2 linked regions of the Diceros bicornis minor genome follow. The protein of the gene in region 2 interacts with the protein of the main gene of each other region in a pairwise test. Links are inferred from orthologs where the notes say so. Each region holds a gene or a part of one and is shown on either strand. Other genes may lie near its edges.

The links.
Region 1: the proteins of NFYA (region 2) and GTF2A1 interact in binary tests that used the Homo sapiens proteins (3 or more experiments, as listed by UniProt). The two-hybrid records come from large-scale screens. The link is inferred for Diceros bicornis minor from reciprocal best matches to the Homo sapiens genes NFYA and GTF2A1.

What each region holds. Positions count from the first base shown.
Region 1 is NC_080763.1:28,584,997-28,592,496, reverse strand, and holds the start of GTF2A1 (transcription initiation factor IIA subunit 1), read left to right. Parts: upstream 1-4,489; 5' UTR 4,490-4,909; coding exon 4,910-4,939; intron 4,940-7,500. UniProt on the Homo sapiens protein: TFIIA is a component of the transcription machinery of RNA polymerase II and plays an important role in transcriptional activation. TFIIA in a complex with TBP mediates transcriptional activity.
Region 2 is NC_080753.1:24,261,622-24,269,624, forward strand, and holds the start of NFYA (nuclear transcription factor Y subunit alpha), read right to left. Parts: upstream 3,014-8,003; 5' UTR 2,924-3,013; exon of another isoform or gene 2,373-2,923; intron 1-2,372. Other genes in the region: ADP-ribose glycohydrolase OARD1, read left to right, coding at 4,258-4,296, 4,653-4,797, 5,832-5,890, 6,904-7,016. UniProt on the Homo sapiens protein: Component of the sequence-specific heterotrimeric transcription factor (NF-Y) which specifically recognizes a 5'-CCAAT-3' box motif found in the promoters of its target genes.

The DNA.
Region 1 (7,500 bases), on a different chromosome or scaffold from region 2:
TATGTTTAAATAAGTCTAGCTTCTATTCCCGTCTTCTTCACACTGTTTTCTCATTGTCCTTAAAAATAACCCTTTTGAAAAAAAAAATTGTTTTATTTTTCCTTTTTTTTTAATGGAAGCAAGTGTTTACACATTTTTATAGTTCCCATTTTCTTAAACAGTAGCATACAAAGAAAACTTTTCTCTACTTTGCTTTTGTCACGTAACACTACATTTTGAAGATCCTTCCATAGTGGTATATAGAGATAGTCCTCATTCCTTGTTACAGCTGCATTGTATTCCATGTACATAAGCACCATAATTTATCTAACCAATCTCCTTATACGCACATGTGGGGGTATTTCCATTCTTTTAGTGTTACAAGAAGTCCCATAATGAATAGTCCTGAGCATACATCTTTTCATATTTTTGCCACTACAGTCATGTGCCGCATAAGGTCGGTTTGATGAAAAATGGGCCGCATATATATGGTGGTCCCATAAGGTTAGTCCCATATAGCCTAGGTGTGTAGTAGGCTATGTCATCTAGGTGTGTGTAAGCACACCCTATGCTGTTTGCACAACAAAATTGCCCAACTAGGCATTTCTCAGAATGTATCCTCATTGTTAAGCAACACATGAGTGTTCTAGGCACAGAGTCCTAGAACTGGTATTGCTGGGTCAATGGCAAATTCATATGTAATTTTGCTAGATATAATCAGGCACATGTGTAACTAAGCAACTTGATGAACTGCAACCGATAAATCAGCATTCAGCTAAGGTGTCTGTATCTCATGATAGCATATAATTACTGTATTTACATACAAAAAGTGGTATACTCATCACTTGAGGTATCAAAATTTGGCCAAAGTTCTTATGGATAAACTAATCATCAATGATTAACAGCATTATTAAAATCTAATGGTAGTGTTCTACAAAGTGAGTTAAAAAGACCTTTCCCCCATTTTGATGTTGTTGATGTAGCTGTTATACACTTACCATAAATAATAAAAACATCCACCAAATACTTATTAAAGCATTTTCTAGTAGCTTTGATCTTCCCAACAATCATATGCAGTGGTTTTTATTCCATCTTATCAACACAGAGAGATTTAGTTACTGCAGAAGGTCACACAGTAAAGTAATGGCAGAGTCAAGCCTGATTCCACAAAGACTGCACTCTGTACACACTAAGTTAATTTGTTTTTGCTAACAAACTCGCTTTTATTTTGGTATACAGAAAATAATTGCAAGTTAGTTGCTGTTTTAAGACATGCAGTAGCAATTTCAAACTATAAGTTAGAAGAGAGGAAGAGAACATTAAAGATTTTTAAAAATCTCCTCCTCATATATATAGAGGTAATTTGTGTGATCAGCAATTTCTTCCTACATATTGCATCAAAAATTACTGCGTGTGGAAATCAACAGTTTTTTTGTAAAGGCCTAAAAATTAACTGAAATCTGAATAGAGCATAATTTTTTTGGTAGGACTGAAATACATCAGTGCTTTTATTATCTTGAATGAATGCTGTAATTATGCACCACTTTACAATAGAAACCTTCATTAGGATTAGTAAGCTTGAGATATAAGATCTTTCCTCTTTACTTTTGTATCCTCCTAAAGTGTCCAATACTATTGAGCATATAAGGGCTGCAAGATCCTTAAATATGCCAGATAATTTGCCTGATTTATTCATTTTACTATTTAAGAACATGGAGGCTGAAGGGAAGTCATATGAGAGTTTAGTTTAAGCTAATTTCCAGAGCAGTCAGTCTTTTTAGATTTTCTTTTTTCTTGGCATTGTTGCTTAAATAGTCATTTGGACAATAAAACATTTAAATGTTTGGACATATAAGGTTTGATGTCATTTTGTTTATGGTAATATTAAAATTTATCCATTGAATTTTTCCTTTTCTTCTTTTGCTTGGCAATTATCCAGTGTTTTGGCAGAATATTAATATTAAAAGAAAGAAGTAACTCTTATTCTCCAATATAAAACATTTTGAAGTAAAAAAAAAAAGATTCATCACAAAGAGAACACTATTATGTATCTGTCTAAGTATACGGCTGTTACAAAGTATGAGTTCACAAACTAAAATTCCAGTATAAACGTTTCCTATATGGTATAAAGAGCCGCTAAAATTAGAAAAGTTCTTTAAGCTTTAGGGCACAAAGAAGAAAAAGTTCAGATAAAAACAATTTAAATATGTTGCTAAATTCAGTCTTACATGGGAGGAGTTTTCTGTTCACAAATTTTCACTTTTGTGAACCAAAGAGCTGTAGCCTCCAAACTATTCAGACCCACTCTTCTGGTGCAAGATCAGAGAATATCTCTTTCTGAAACTAAACTGGTTGGCACACGTATATTGTGATTGACAGCATATTATAGCTAACTGAAGGTTGGAAAACAATAAATTGGAATGGAATCCATGATACTTAGATGCCAGGCATACGGGGGGGGGGGGGGGGGGGGATCTGGGTAAATATTAACCAAGTGTTTAGGCATTGTTGCAATTTAGTGTGTAAAGAGAGAAGTGGACTCAGAGGAGCCTCCTGGGAGTCCGAAGGTCTTAAGGAGCCAGGACTGGGTTTTCTGCCTTTTTAATGCAGTAACTATATCCTATTGTTTCAAAGGTCAGACCCAATCAGGGCATATCTGTCATCAACCCCCTTAGGAATAATTGTGTGGAGAACAAATCTCATAGATTCTTTGCCATGTCCTGTCTGCAGTAGTCTTAATTTTAACGGATAGCAAAACATTTGATCATTTAGTTAAGAATACCCAGTGGTAAGGAAGAAAATAAGGTGGAAGGTGAGGGATTCCACGTGCACACAGTACATACAGGAGGTAACAAGAAGTCTTCTTAAAATAACAAGCAGTGAAATTTACCAGGAATGGTATTGTTTAGTAAAATTTTTCAGGCTCATAGTCACCTGAATATTAAATGAATTACAAATGTGGATGGAATCATAATGTTATATATCAAGAACACTATGATTTCCTGCGAATTTTTTTTTTCTTAAGTGCCCCCAAACAGGCAGCTGTGCAGGGAACTAAGAAGCGAGTGTTAAGAGGATGTTGTTCGATCAGATGGTGTTAAAAGAAATCTCAAGATTAACAGATATTTTCTATACCCATTCACAAACTATCCACAACTTCCCATTTTCTGAGTATTAACGGCCTGCTTTCATTAATCTCTTCCTTCAAGTCCTGGCGGATTGCACCTTTTCCTCTCTCTGGTAGGACGCCTTTGATATTCTTCACATCTGGTTTCAGTGGCATAGAACTTTTGACGTTTTGTTTTGCTTTGCCTTTTAGGATAAACTCCCTCACTTGTCCAGACCACCCATTCCATGTCTCTTGAAATTCCTAGGGACAAGAAAATTAGGTACTGTGACTTCTGCCTTCTAAACAGAGCATTCTCTGTTCTGCGTGAAATGTTGATATAAAGGCGGGATTTGGTGGAGCAGAGCAGGTCAAACGCCTATAGAATTGCACTCCAAGACCTGGACAGTTTCTGCCCGCTCTCTGGCAGCGAGGAGCCGTGTGAGTTGGTTGGCCAAGGTCAAGTATTTCAGATGTTAGTCACTACATGCTGGCTATGTGGAGACACAGAATTTTGGCAGTAGGTTAAAAAAACAGGGAAGGTTATCATGCTGTCATAACCCTGTGGTCGGTGTTTCGTTTTGCTTTTTTTGGCATTTCCACTACTATCAGAAATCATTTAAGTACGTGGGCTGGTAGGGGCCGAACCTTTGGGGAACTTAAATCCAAAGACTTTGTAGCTGTACTTGAGACAAACAACTCAGCCGGTTTTAGGGGTTATTAATTCTGGAATGTGTTAACAGTAGGCCCAAATCAGCATTCATCCCCTTTAGGAACACGTACACAACTTTGCAAGCGAAAGGCCAACCCTCGGCGGAAGGCGCGAACGCCTCAAAGCTCTCAGTCTAAGCCGAGATCACGCTCTGACGTGACTCCGCGTTTAAAACTCTGCCCTGAGTCCAAGCGCGCCAGGGGCCGGAAGCTGGTCCACGTGACTGGTCCTCCTCCGCGGCCATTCCTAACGAGGCAGCCCCCACCGCCCCTTCCACATTTCCTAGCTCCTCCAGCGTGGGACGGCGCAACAACGCCTGAGAGGAGGCGGTCCCAGCAAGCTTTGGACTCGAGTATCACCAAAACTCACGCCTTTCCCGGCAGTGGTTTGCAAGCTCCTCACCCCAAACGAGCCGCCGAACTTCCGCCTGCGTGCCAACCACGTGATCACGCGAGACTTGGGGAGGCAGCGGTCCGACTTCAGTACACCAGACCCCGGGCTCCGCCTGCCCAGCACCCTCCACGGCGCGTGACGACGCGACTCGCGGCGGCCACCGCCCCGGCGCGCCTGCGCACGCGGCTCTCGCGGTGTCTCGCGCTGAGCCCCGCCCACCTGTGCCCCCGCCCTTTCCGCCCCTCCCTCCCCCTCCGCCCTGTCTCTCGGCGGCAGCGGCGGCGGCGGTGGCTCGCGCAGCTCGTTGGCTCGCTATATAAAGGGGAGAAGCGGGCGGACCGGACGGCTGGAGCTGCAGCCGGTGGCGGCAGCGGCGGCGCGGGGAGCGGCGACCGGTGGTGGTTCCCTCCTGGGCGCGGGGTGGGGAGCGGGCAACGCCCCCCGGACCCCCCAAAGGGTCGTGGTTTTTTTTTTTTAAGGGCGATTCTCGAGGTTTTTAGCTCCGGGAGGACTGCCCCCCTCCTCCACCTCCCCCTCTCCTCTCACCGCTCCCCTCTACTCCTTCAGGATCCGATTTTGTTGAAAAATTTTTCCCCCCCATCTTGCGGTGGCTTGGGTCACCCTCTGGGTGTTTCGGTTTTTTCTTTTTCTTTTTTTTGGTTTTGTTTTTCTCTTGTTTTCTCGGGGTTGCTCCCCTCTTGTTTGTGTTGTGTGTGGAAATGGCGAACTCGGCAAATACAAACACCGTGGTAAGGACGTGGTGCGGTGGCCGGCGGGGGCTTCGTCCAGGCGGCAGCAACGGCCGGACCGGGCGGGGGCGGGGACGGCGGCGACTCCCGGCCTCGACTCTCCTCAGCCGCCCGCGCGGCCACCGCCGCCGCCGCTTCCCGCCTCGGGCGGAGCGGGCCGGGGCGCCGGGCGGCGGGCGCGGGGGGGCGCCGAGGGCTCGCGGCGGCGGCGGCGGCGGCGGCGGGAGGGCGGGGGTGCCGGCGGGGCCTGGGGCCGCGGAGGCGGTTGGGCCGGGGCGAGTGCGCGGCCCCGGCCCCAGACCCCGGCCGCCGGGGGGGAGGGCGGGAGGGGAGCCGCCGCTGCCCCCGAAGTGGGCCCGGCCGCGCCGGCTCGAGAAGGGCTCCCCGAGCCGCCTCCAAACAAAAACCGGGTCTGGGGAATTGGGCGAATCCCCAAGACCCACCGCGATCCACTTTCCTGCAGTGGAACGTTGATGGCTACTTCGGGGGGGAACTTGGGGTGTTTCTGGCTGTTGTGCTTAGGGAGCCTTCGCTGGGGCCATTTTATGTTTTTTTTTTTTTTAAAAAAGGACGAAGGTTGAAAAGCACTTATCTCGGTTCCTTCCGAATCGGTAAAATGGCGAAGGGGAAGCAAAACCCCCATCGTATCTTCGACTAGCAAAAGCACCAAAACAAACAAAAAAAAGCCTACAGTGGTCAAAGTGCCCCCGCTTTCGCCTTGCAATTTGCCTACTTCTCCCCGTTCGTCCCTTTTTGGTTACTTGCGATCACGTAGGTTTGCAAAAAGCAGTCACATAAAGAACCTTTTCAGTCACCAACGCAATGTGATCACTCGTCCACCCCACTCTCTTATTTTTATTGTGACAATAAAACACGTTTTTGCCCGGTCCCAAATGCCGCAGACCTGCCCGCGGCCGCCCGACTCCGTACCGTTGGCGACTCGGGTCGATCCATCATGGCTGCGGCCGCTTACCCGGCTTTTCAGTCCCTGAGCCTTGTGGTCCTCCTCCCTTTGGCTGCCCTGTTTATATAGAGCCATTGCCGCTCTCTAATATAGACTCTGCCAGGATGGGAAGGTGCTTTTCAGGCCTACGTCACCGCCTCTCCATTTAAACACCAGATCCGGCTTTAAATAGTGAGAGCTGCTGAGAGCGGGGCTGGGAGGTGCGTGCTCCCGACGCGAGAGGCAGGCGCGTGCAGAGCTCGATTTATTTCTAGGTCCTTTCCTTAGCCTGTCATGTTCGCACCCAACGGGGGCTGCTTTCAGAGCCCCAAGTTTTTGTTGTGGTGCAGCCGCTGGGATTTGCCGTCTTTGTTAGGGGAAAAGAGAATTGCTTTCCTTTTTAGTTTTATTTTTGTTTTTAGAGATAATTTTAGGTCAGATGTCTAATCGTTCTTGTATTACAAGATGCCTACATTATTGTCGGGAATGGAAAAAAAGTGCTTTCTACGTTAACTGTTAGCTGCAAAGGACTTGACTTTGGTAGTATTGTGTTCATCAAGTATTCAGGAAATGTGTTAGAATCTAGCTCCTAATATTTCATTATGTTTTCTTATAATAAATAGCGGAGACACGAAGCTGTTCAAAGAAGTAGATAAGTGCCTGAAGCTTCAACGTAGCACCTATATCCACAGTACATTTCTGTGTAGGGGAATTGTGAGTAATGAAAGTGAGGAGGCTTTAACTGCAAACTGGATTTTAAAAAATTAAAATTCTGAGCAGACAAGGTTTTTATTGAATTGGATATTAGTGTGATATCCAATAGAGAAATTAATCCAGTTTGTTTTCCAGTATTGCATGGGGGACTAACACTTTTGAAAGGAACCTTCTAATGAATCATTAGATAATGCTACTAATGGCCCTTGAAATTACCAGTTTTTAGGTTTGAAATATGTGTTTTTTGAAAACCATGACAAACCTCTTAAATGACTTTTTATTTCGTAAAAGGTAAAAACTTTGGCTCAAGGCAAGTTTAGCATTTTAAATAATAATTTGGAAATTGCGTATTTCAAATAGTGCCTGTGTACCCACATACTTCTAAAAACATCAGGATTTTAAGGGCTTTTCAACTTATGAACAATTCTCTTAAATTATTCTTTTTTTTTTTTTTTTTTTTTTTTGTGAGGCGATCAGCCCTGAGCTAACATCCGCCAATCCTCCTCTTTTTTTGCTGAGGAAGACGGCCCTGGGCTAACATCGGTGCCTATCTTCCTCCACTTTATATGGGACGCCGCCACAGCATGGCTTACCAAGCAGTGCGTCGGTGCGCGCCCGGGATCCGAACCAGCGAACCCCGGGCCGCCGCAGCGGAGCGCGCGCACTTAACCGCTTGCGCCACCGGGCCAGCCCCTTAAATTATTCTTTATGTGTATACTTCATGAAGAATACACATTTCCCTTCTTTCAACTGTAGTGCTTATGAATCCATGAAGTGCTCAAGTTTTGGGTTAATTAAGGCACAAAAGCAAAATCTTATTAAAGCAAGGTTGATACATTAAATAGGGAGTGCCAGAAGGAAAGCACATTTGTTACCTATAAATGTCTAGACCTCCAAGCAGAAG
Region 2 (8,003 bases):
TTTCGTATCACAAATCACTGCACACACAACATATAAAAAAAGTAACTGAAACAAACGTTTCACGAATACTTATCTTTATGTAACATAAGATGCACTTTGATATTTTCTATTTTATTACAAAAAAATATCAGCATTGGCCCACTAAATTGATTTCACAATGCAACCAATGGGTCCTGATCTGTTTGATAAAAGATTAGAGAACACAGCGTGTCCAGCTTCTGCACTGTCTGAGGTTTCTGGATTGGAGTTCCTAATTTGCTCCTCCTCTCCACTAATGATGTGCCAGACACTGTCCTGAAGGTTTCAGAAATAAAAAGAAAACTCTGACAAAGATTCTAACTTCAAAGAGTCTTTAAGTTTAGTGAAGGGGTAAAAATGTACTAGAACCCTAAAAGAGGAAGAAGGTAATACGGGATTTTGGAGAACAGAGATTTCTCTGTGAGGACAGAGATTTCTTCCTGCTGGGAATAGAAAAATCAAGAAAAGCTTTAGGAAAACGTGACATCTGACCTGGTCTTAAGTGTGAGGAGGATTTATACTATATGATGATGTGGGAGGGGGCAGAGTACTCCAAACGAAGAGAGAGCATAAAAACAAGGACAGAAAAATTTCAGCATAGAACAGTAGACTAAAAGGCCCCATGTCAAGAGAAGGCTGGCGGCTAGACCACTGTTCTCAAAATTCCAGGCAAAGAAGTTCTTCTTGCAGACAGGTGGAGGCCCTAGAGGTGTTCAGCAAAAAAGTGACCAGACTATAACTGCCTTCTAGAAAGAAGTCTAGTGAAAGTGTTGGATGGTTGTCAAGTGACCAGATATACCTGTTTTTGAATACCAACGTTAAAATATCTATTCCAAAGGCAAATCTAAGTGTTCTAAAAATTATCTAAGACATGCTTCTCCTTTAATATGGATAATGTAGCGAGAATTAAATGAATTTAAGAAAACGATTTAAACAATGAAAAACATTCTAAAAAGTGAAAACAAAAACTGTTTCCAAAGTTTGACAAGTAGAGAGAGCACTGGACTAGTTGTTTTCTGAAACCTACCAGTTGTATGATCTTAGTAAACGTGATTATAAAAATGGGCACCATATACTGAAGACCTACTCTGTGTGCCAGCGACTGCACTAGGTGCTTCAAAGGAGTCAAAACTTTTCAAGGCCTAGGAGAAAAATCTCCCTCTCTTCCCCCAAAGAAGTCAGCTGCTGTTACCGGGCAGAACCCCACAAATCAGAAACTTGTTTTTCCAATCTTAGAAAAAAACATACTTCTAGATTTCTTCTATCTGAACCTCCACAAAATAACTGCTTCCGCAAAATTCCTCATCAAGATATACAAATGCTCGTACTAACTCGGCTTTCCAGTCTCAACTCGCACCAGCATTGCCCACTGCCCTATCCTATCTTCGCCTCAAACGCACGGCACAATTTGCTCTTTTCTTTGTGAGCAACGCTCTTCCATTCTTTCCTGTCCGAAAAAATACTATCGTCCTTCATGGCCAATCGAAAGTGTGGCGATGTTGAGCCTTCCACGGAGGCTGTTGGTAGCTCACACATCAGTCCTTCACTGAACTCAACTTGGCCCCGTTACAGCACCAGCCGTTAGGTACTAATCAGCTGTTCACCTGTCAATCTCCACCAGGCGGAAAAGGTTCTTATTTCCCTCTACCTACTTGCTCCCCAGGACACAGATCTATGCCCGCTGGATACTAACTGCTGGAGACGTGGTTGTCAATGGAGAGTCCCTTCCACCCTAACGAAAACCCCACAACACTAAGTTTCTATAAACATCTGCTAAGAAAACGTTAACACGGGATTAGAAAGTATATTAGAAAAAAAGTAAACCAAGACATGGCTATGAACTGAGCTAAGAGACAAGCCTTACACATTCAAAGCGACACAAAGGTGAAAGAAAAAAACTGTACATTCCCAAGGACGGGAGAGTTCACAAGACGAGCAGTGGGTAACACTAGTATGAAAAGCAGGTTGTGCAGCCTTCGGGAAAAGGAATGAGCAGGGCTAACAGTCTTCTACGATGAGGTTCCAAGCACCGAATGGACTGGCCTTACAGCCCAGCCGAGAAACGGAGACCGCTTGGTTGGACTCCAAGCCGGAGGTGTGCGGTGCTGCCCCGGGAGCGGGGCGGGGAGGAGAGGAAATGACGAGCCAAAAGGGGGTGGTAACGGCGCGGGGCCGAAGACCCGGGCCGAGCGTGCGGGAGGGGCGGCGGGGCAGGGGAGTGGGCGCACTAACGGACCCCTCCCCGGCCGGGGAGACGGCGGGGAGGGCCCGCGGGGCGCCGGGGGGGGCCCGCCCCCTCTCCCGCCGCACCCGGGGCCCTGTGGCCGCCGCGTGCGTCCTACCCAGGGCCCCCTCCCGACCCCAGAGGGCTGCAAACGGCAGACGCGGCTCACGGAGGGCTGGGGACGCGGGCCCCGCGGGGAGGACTGCCCGGCCCGAGGACCGGAGCGTGGAAGATGCAAGGGCAGGCTTAAGTGTGAGGCCCGACCGACCGGCAGGAAACGGCCGAGGCCCCGGGCACGTGTGTGCGCCGGAGCGGAGGAGCATCCGTGGCAGGCAAGCCCACCACTCCGAGCCTGGGGTCTGAGACCCTGGGCCTAAGTCTCGGGGGACGAGGACGCATCCCCAACCGGCACCAGCACCCCGCCGGGGTCTGGACCCCGAGGTGCCGGCTCCCGAGGGCGCCATGCCCGCACGGGGCGGCCCCCTGCAGGCCTCGGCCGGGAGTGCCCCGGGGCGCTCGCAGGCTCCGGGGCCGCACCGCCAGCCGCCCGGCTCGGCGAGGCTCAGCTCGACTCCCCGGGCTCGACGGGAGCCTGGGCCTCTCCTGAGTGGTCAGCGAGACCCGCCAATCGGGGCGCTGGGGCCGGCTCTGGGCCGCTGGATATTGGCTCCTCACGCTCACCGTGCTTCGCTCCCCCGGTTCGCTGCCCGCGCTGATTGGCTCCAGTACCGGACCCCGAAACCCAATCAGAGGCTCCAGCCGCCGCTGCCGCCGCCACTGCCGCTGCCTCGCAAAATGGCGAACCCGAACAAAGGGGAATCGGGCCTCCCTCCAACCGCCTCCGCGCAGGCGCCTCTGAGACCACGCCCACTAGCCTCTGCTCGGGGCTCGCCCCACCCCCACCTGAAGGAGCATTGCGCAGGCGTCCCCTGCGGCCACGCCCACTTCCCCGATTTGACACCACCCCCCCGCCGAAGGATTACGCAGGCGCCTTCTGGAAGCGCCAGACCCTTCGACTCAAACACCGCCCTGAACATAGTACTACGCAGGCGCTAACTAGCTCCTGTGCCAACTGCCCTCCCCCTTCTATGCGGCCACTGGAGACACACCCCTGGGGCTAATGCGCAAGCGCCGTTCTGCCCCGTTCGCGGTGGGCTGTGTCGTTACGCATGCCCGGGCGGCGGCGGGAGACTCCGCGGAATTTACCGCCGGAAGTTCGGCGGCCACGACCAAAGAGTGGAGGTTCGGCTAGTTAGCTAGAGGGGCTCGTTTCCGCCCCGCTCCCGGGGTTGGGCGGCCATCTTAGGCGCGCGCAATTAAAGGCTGTGGCGGGATTGGTCCCGCGTCTGGGCTCGTCCCCCGCTCCCCACCTACCAGGGCCGGATCCGGAGCCCTTCCCCGCGGGGCGGGACTCCTAACGGCCGCCTCCTTTTCAGGTGAAGGGTAATCGCGGGACGTTGGGACTCTGGGCGAGCCTCCTCGCTCCCTCCCGCGGGACTCCAGGACAGGCCCCACGCCCTCGCTGACCCGCCTTGGGGTAGGAAAAGGGGAGGTTCTCTAGACTCCTTCCCCCCAAAAAAAGAGGAGGTGAGCCTTCCCCGTCCCCTGCTTGCGGCTCGGCGGGACACTCCCCCCGGCCGGTGCACTCCCTCGTTGCGGCTTAAGGGGACTGTGGCCAGGTCATTCCTTTTTGCTTCTAGGCCAGATCCACTGGGGAAATGCTTGTGCGCGGTGCAGGAAAAAGGAGATTGTCCTAAACCCGCCTGGCTCGGGCGGGAGAAGGGAGGAGGCGTGGCTCGGGAGGCAGGCTGCTGCTGCTTGCACCAGAGAGTTTTGTGTTACTTTCTAGAGGCCGAACGCACTCAAATTCAGCGATAAACGTTGGGGGGGAAAATTATTAAGTGCGTGGTCGGGGCAATCTGAATGTATAATATGTTCAGGCTGCCTAAGCATCCTAGCTTCCTTTTCCTTCTCATAGCTGAAGAAACACATTCTGGAAATAGCCACTCAGTATCATGGCCGGCAGCCCTAATGAAGATCCTGAAGGAAGCAGAGTGCGTAACAACTATTAACTTATTGCTGAACTGAAGTTCAGAAAGATTGAGGTCAAATGCATAAACACTTTTTAATTAAAGCAATAATTGAATTGCCTTTTTTTTTTCTCTTTCCAGCTGATTTACTTCTGAAAGGCTAATACAGTGCTAGGCAGAGACCATCCAGCTCTTGCCTTTTACACGTGCTTTAATTCGTGGTCGTTAACTCCTTAAATTAAATTCTGAGGATTTGGCTTTAAATCAAGGAGGGGCAGGGGAGGAGAGGGAGTGGGGGACACAGTAAAGGAAAATGAGAGAAATAGCTTAATATTTTTTTGAATCTAATAAAACATTTTCTTTCCTTTTGCACGTTTTAGATCACTTATGTGAAAGGAGACCTCTTTGCATGCCCCAAAACAGACTCTTTAGCGCACTGTATCAGTGAGGATTGTCGAATGGGTGCTGGGATAGCTGTCCTCTTCAAGAAGAAATTTGGAGGAGTGCAGGAACTGATAAATCAACGTGAGTTTTGAAAACAGCTTAAGTCTGCTGCCCTAGCTAGAGCATCTCTTGACCTCCTGTTATACTTTAATTATTAAACAAAATATACATGCAAAGAGGGAGTTCCTAATCGCTGAGTACTTTTAACTCTTCAGATTGTTTCCTCTACAGAAATGGCCTCTAGTCTGAGTCCTTATCACATCAAATCTGAATTGTAAAAGTTTCTAATCTCTTCCTCCTCTGTCATAAAACTTTCTTGATAATATTACTCCACTTCTCTGAAACCTTTAATAACTCTGAAGTGCTTAGCAAAGTCCACAGGTGTTAGCTTGGCATTCAAGATTCTCTCTTCATCCACATTGTACTTATTCTTCCAAGAGGAGTTTAGAAACCTCCTCTTCCTATACACACCCTCCCATCACTTTTCTACCAATGGTTTTAAACCGGAGATGTGTATTCACATCACTTGTGGAGCTTCTGAAACAGTTGCTCAGACCACAGTCCAGGCTTACGGAGTCAGTTTCCACTGATGATTCTGACCCCAGCCTTTAAAAGAGCAATTTCTTACTGCTTTGTATTGTAGTTATTTGTAAACATGACACCTACTCTTGATTGAAAACTGTTTAATTAGGAACTCTTTTATACCTCTGTTTCCCCATAATGCTTAACGTGTTAGCTTTTTGTATGTAAAAAAGATGATTATTGAATGAATACACATTTGGCAAGTAAAAAATGCTGTACATTCTAAAACATTTCAAAGCAGTAGACATAAAAGTTTCTTTAGTGAAGAAATAAGGATGTATTTGAAAATAGGGGCAGGAGAAAAGATGGGGTGAGAGGAAAACGATTAAGAAAGCTGGAAGTTAACGAATATAGTATTTAGGAAGGCGATAAGGAGCAAAATGTTCGTAGGAGACAGCAGGTTTCTTCAGAGTTGAAAATTATTTCTCCTGAGGTAAACTCAGATTTGTAAAGATTTTTTAAAAATCTAAGAGTGGAGATCAGTGTTTTGGTTTTCTTTTTTCTTTCTGCTATTAAATACCTGTTTTTCTTAGAAAAGAAATCTGGAGAAGTGGCTGTGCTGAAGAGAGATGGGCGATATATATATTACTTGGTAAGACGGGGCTGATTCTCAGTACGCTCTAAGGATTGGTGAACAAATGGGCTGTACTGCAATTGTGTTGATCGTGATGTTCCAGTCTAGACGAGCCAAGGATGTCAAAAGCTTCTGATCTCGATCCAGTGGTGGTGGCTGTTTGGAGCACTGGATTAGAAAGAACATGAGGCTGCATCCCAGCTCCATGGAAAGAGTACCGTGACATCCGCCAAAGGCCTGGGTTCTAAGACTTGCAGAAGTTAGGGATGCCTTCCGTACTTAATTCCTTCCTAATCATGGTGAGAGAGAAACAGTAGTGTCTCAAGAGACAGATTGTCCAAGGAGGTTTCTCTCTCATTCTTCCCTATCAAATCCAGGTAATACTCAGCTCCTTTCCCACCTGCTGCCTCAATGGGATTTTTCCACTGTCCAAGTGGTCTTCAGCCCCAGAAAGAGTGTGGTTTCTTGGTGATGGTGCTGGGTGACATACAGCCAGTTCACTATAAGCCTGATTTGGATAGCAGGCTGAGTGGGGACATGTCCTAGCCCCTTTGAATGCTGTCTTTAAGGCCGATGGGACTTCTGGTTTGGAATGCTACCAGTTTCTCTGTTCTCTTATAGAGAAACAAAAAGCAAGCAAGCACAGTTTCTAAATAAATAGACTTAACAGGAAATTTTCAGGTGGTATGGGTTCTTACAGATATGCAGCTTCTCTCTTGGAAGTGGCACAAAGGCTTGCACCTACCTTGCTTAAAAACACTAGACAATAGGCATAGCCTGCTAATCTCCTGGGCTTATTGGGAGAAGGAAAGAGTATTACATGGCAGTGTCTGGGTTTCTCAGGCCCTATTTAGTGGATTTTCCTGAGGGCCTCACATAACTGGAAGGGACAGTCTATGACATTTGTCATCCTTGCTCTAGACTATTCTATAAAAATATACTTAATTATCAGGATGTTGGGAGAATGTGATGGTTTTTCTTTGGCTATCATTTTGGATTAACAGAAGTTTGAATTTGTTCTTTGTACTCAGATTACAAAGAAAAGGGCTTCACACAAACCAACTTATGAAAACTTACGGAAGAGTTTAGAGGCCATGAAGTCCCATTGTCTGAAGAATGGAGTCACTGACCTCTCCATGCCCAGGCAAGGAAATCCAGGGCCCTAAATGAAGACTTAATTCAGGTGGTGGGGTTTACTGTCTTACCCGGAGACAAATGACTTAAAAGCTTAACTTAAGCCAAAATATAGACTTAAAGGTGGACAAATTTCAAAACTTTTTAAAATCACTAGTGAACCAGTTGTCAGGCCTTAAGTTAAGGCATACCTATTTCTTAGCCTGGGTTGAATGAATCAGGATGATTAAAACACACACCTGCCTCAGCCTACTTAGTAGGGAGGAACCATTGTTAGTCACCTTGGTTGAATTATGGGCATCCTCTATCTGAAGCTTAGCTGCTCTCTCTAAAGCAATATAAGCTAAAGAGCCAAGACTGAGCAATTGTGATTTCTCTGGGCCACTTCAGATGTCCCAAACCTGTTAATCCTATGTGAAGAAAGTTGTAAATTCTCACTGCCTTTTAAATTGCATGCTTGTTTGTGGTCAGCGTGGGTTGTAGCCAGAGAATATGTTCCTGATGTAACATTTTAGATCCCAGCTATTGAGAACTTAAGGGAATGACACTGAGGGTTCAGTATCCCCTTTGCTTCCTTTTCAGGAAATAGGCTTGGAGTCACCATTTCTTGTCTTCTCACTCTGGTTTTGAGTCAGTGCTGACCATGCAGGTTTATTCTAAGCCCAAGTTACTTTATGAATGTGGCTCAGGGTCCCTCATCTTACACTGATCTTAATATGTTCATGGCTTATGTATCAGGAACTTTTTTTTTAATCACAACTTTTGGGGGGACTTAATTATCCCATTATATGAAATTAGCAATTTTAAGCCTTTTGTTTTTCCCTGGGGATGTTGAGGGTCAATAATAACCTGTTGGAAGGAAGGTGCCAGGTAGTAGTGTTGTGGGCTGGTTGAAGTTTCCCACCAGCATGTTGAGAAGACCTGAATTGCAGTCAGCTTGGCATTTCGCAGCATTCCATCTCGACTTCGTTTTCACAGAGATCCTGTCCTTTGTCCC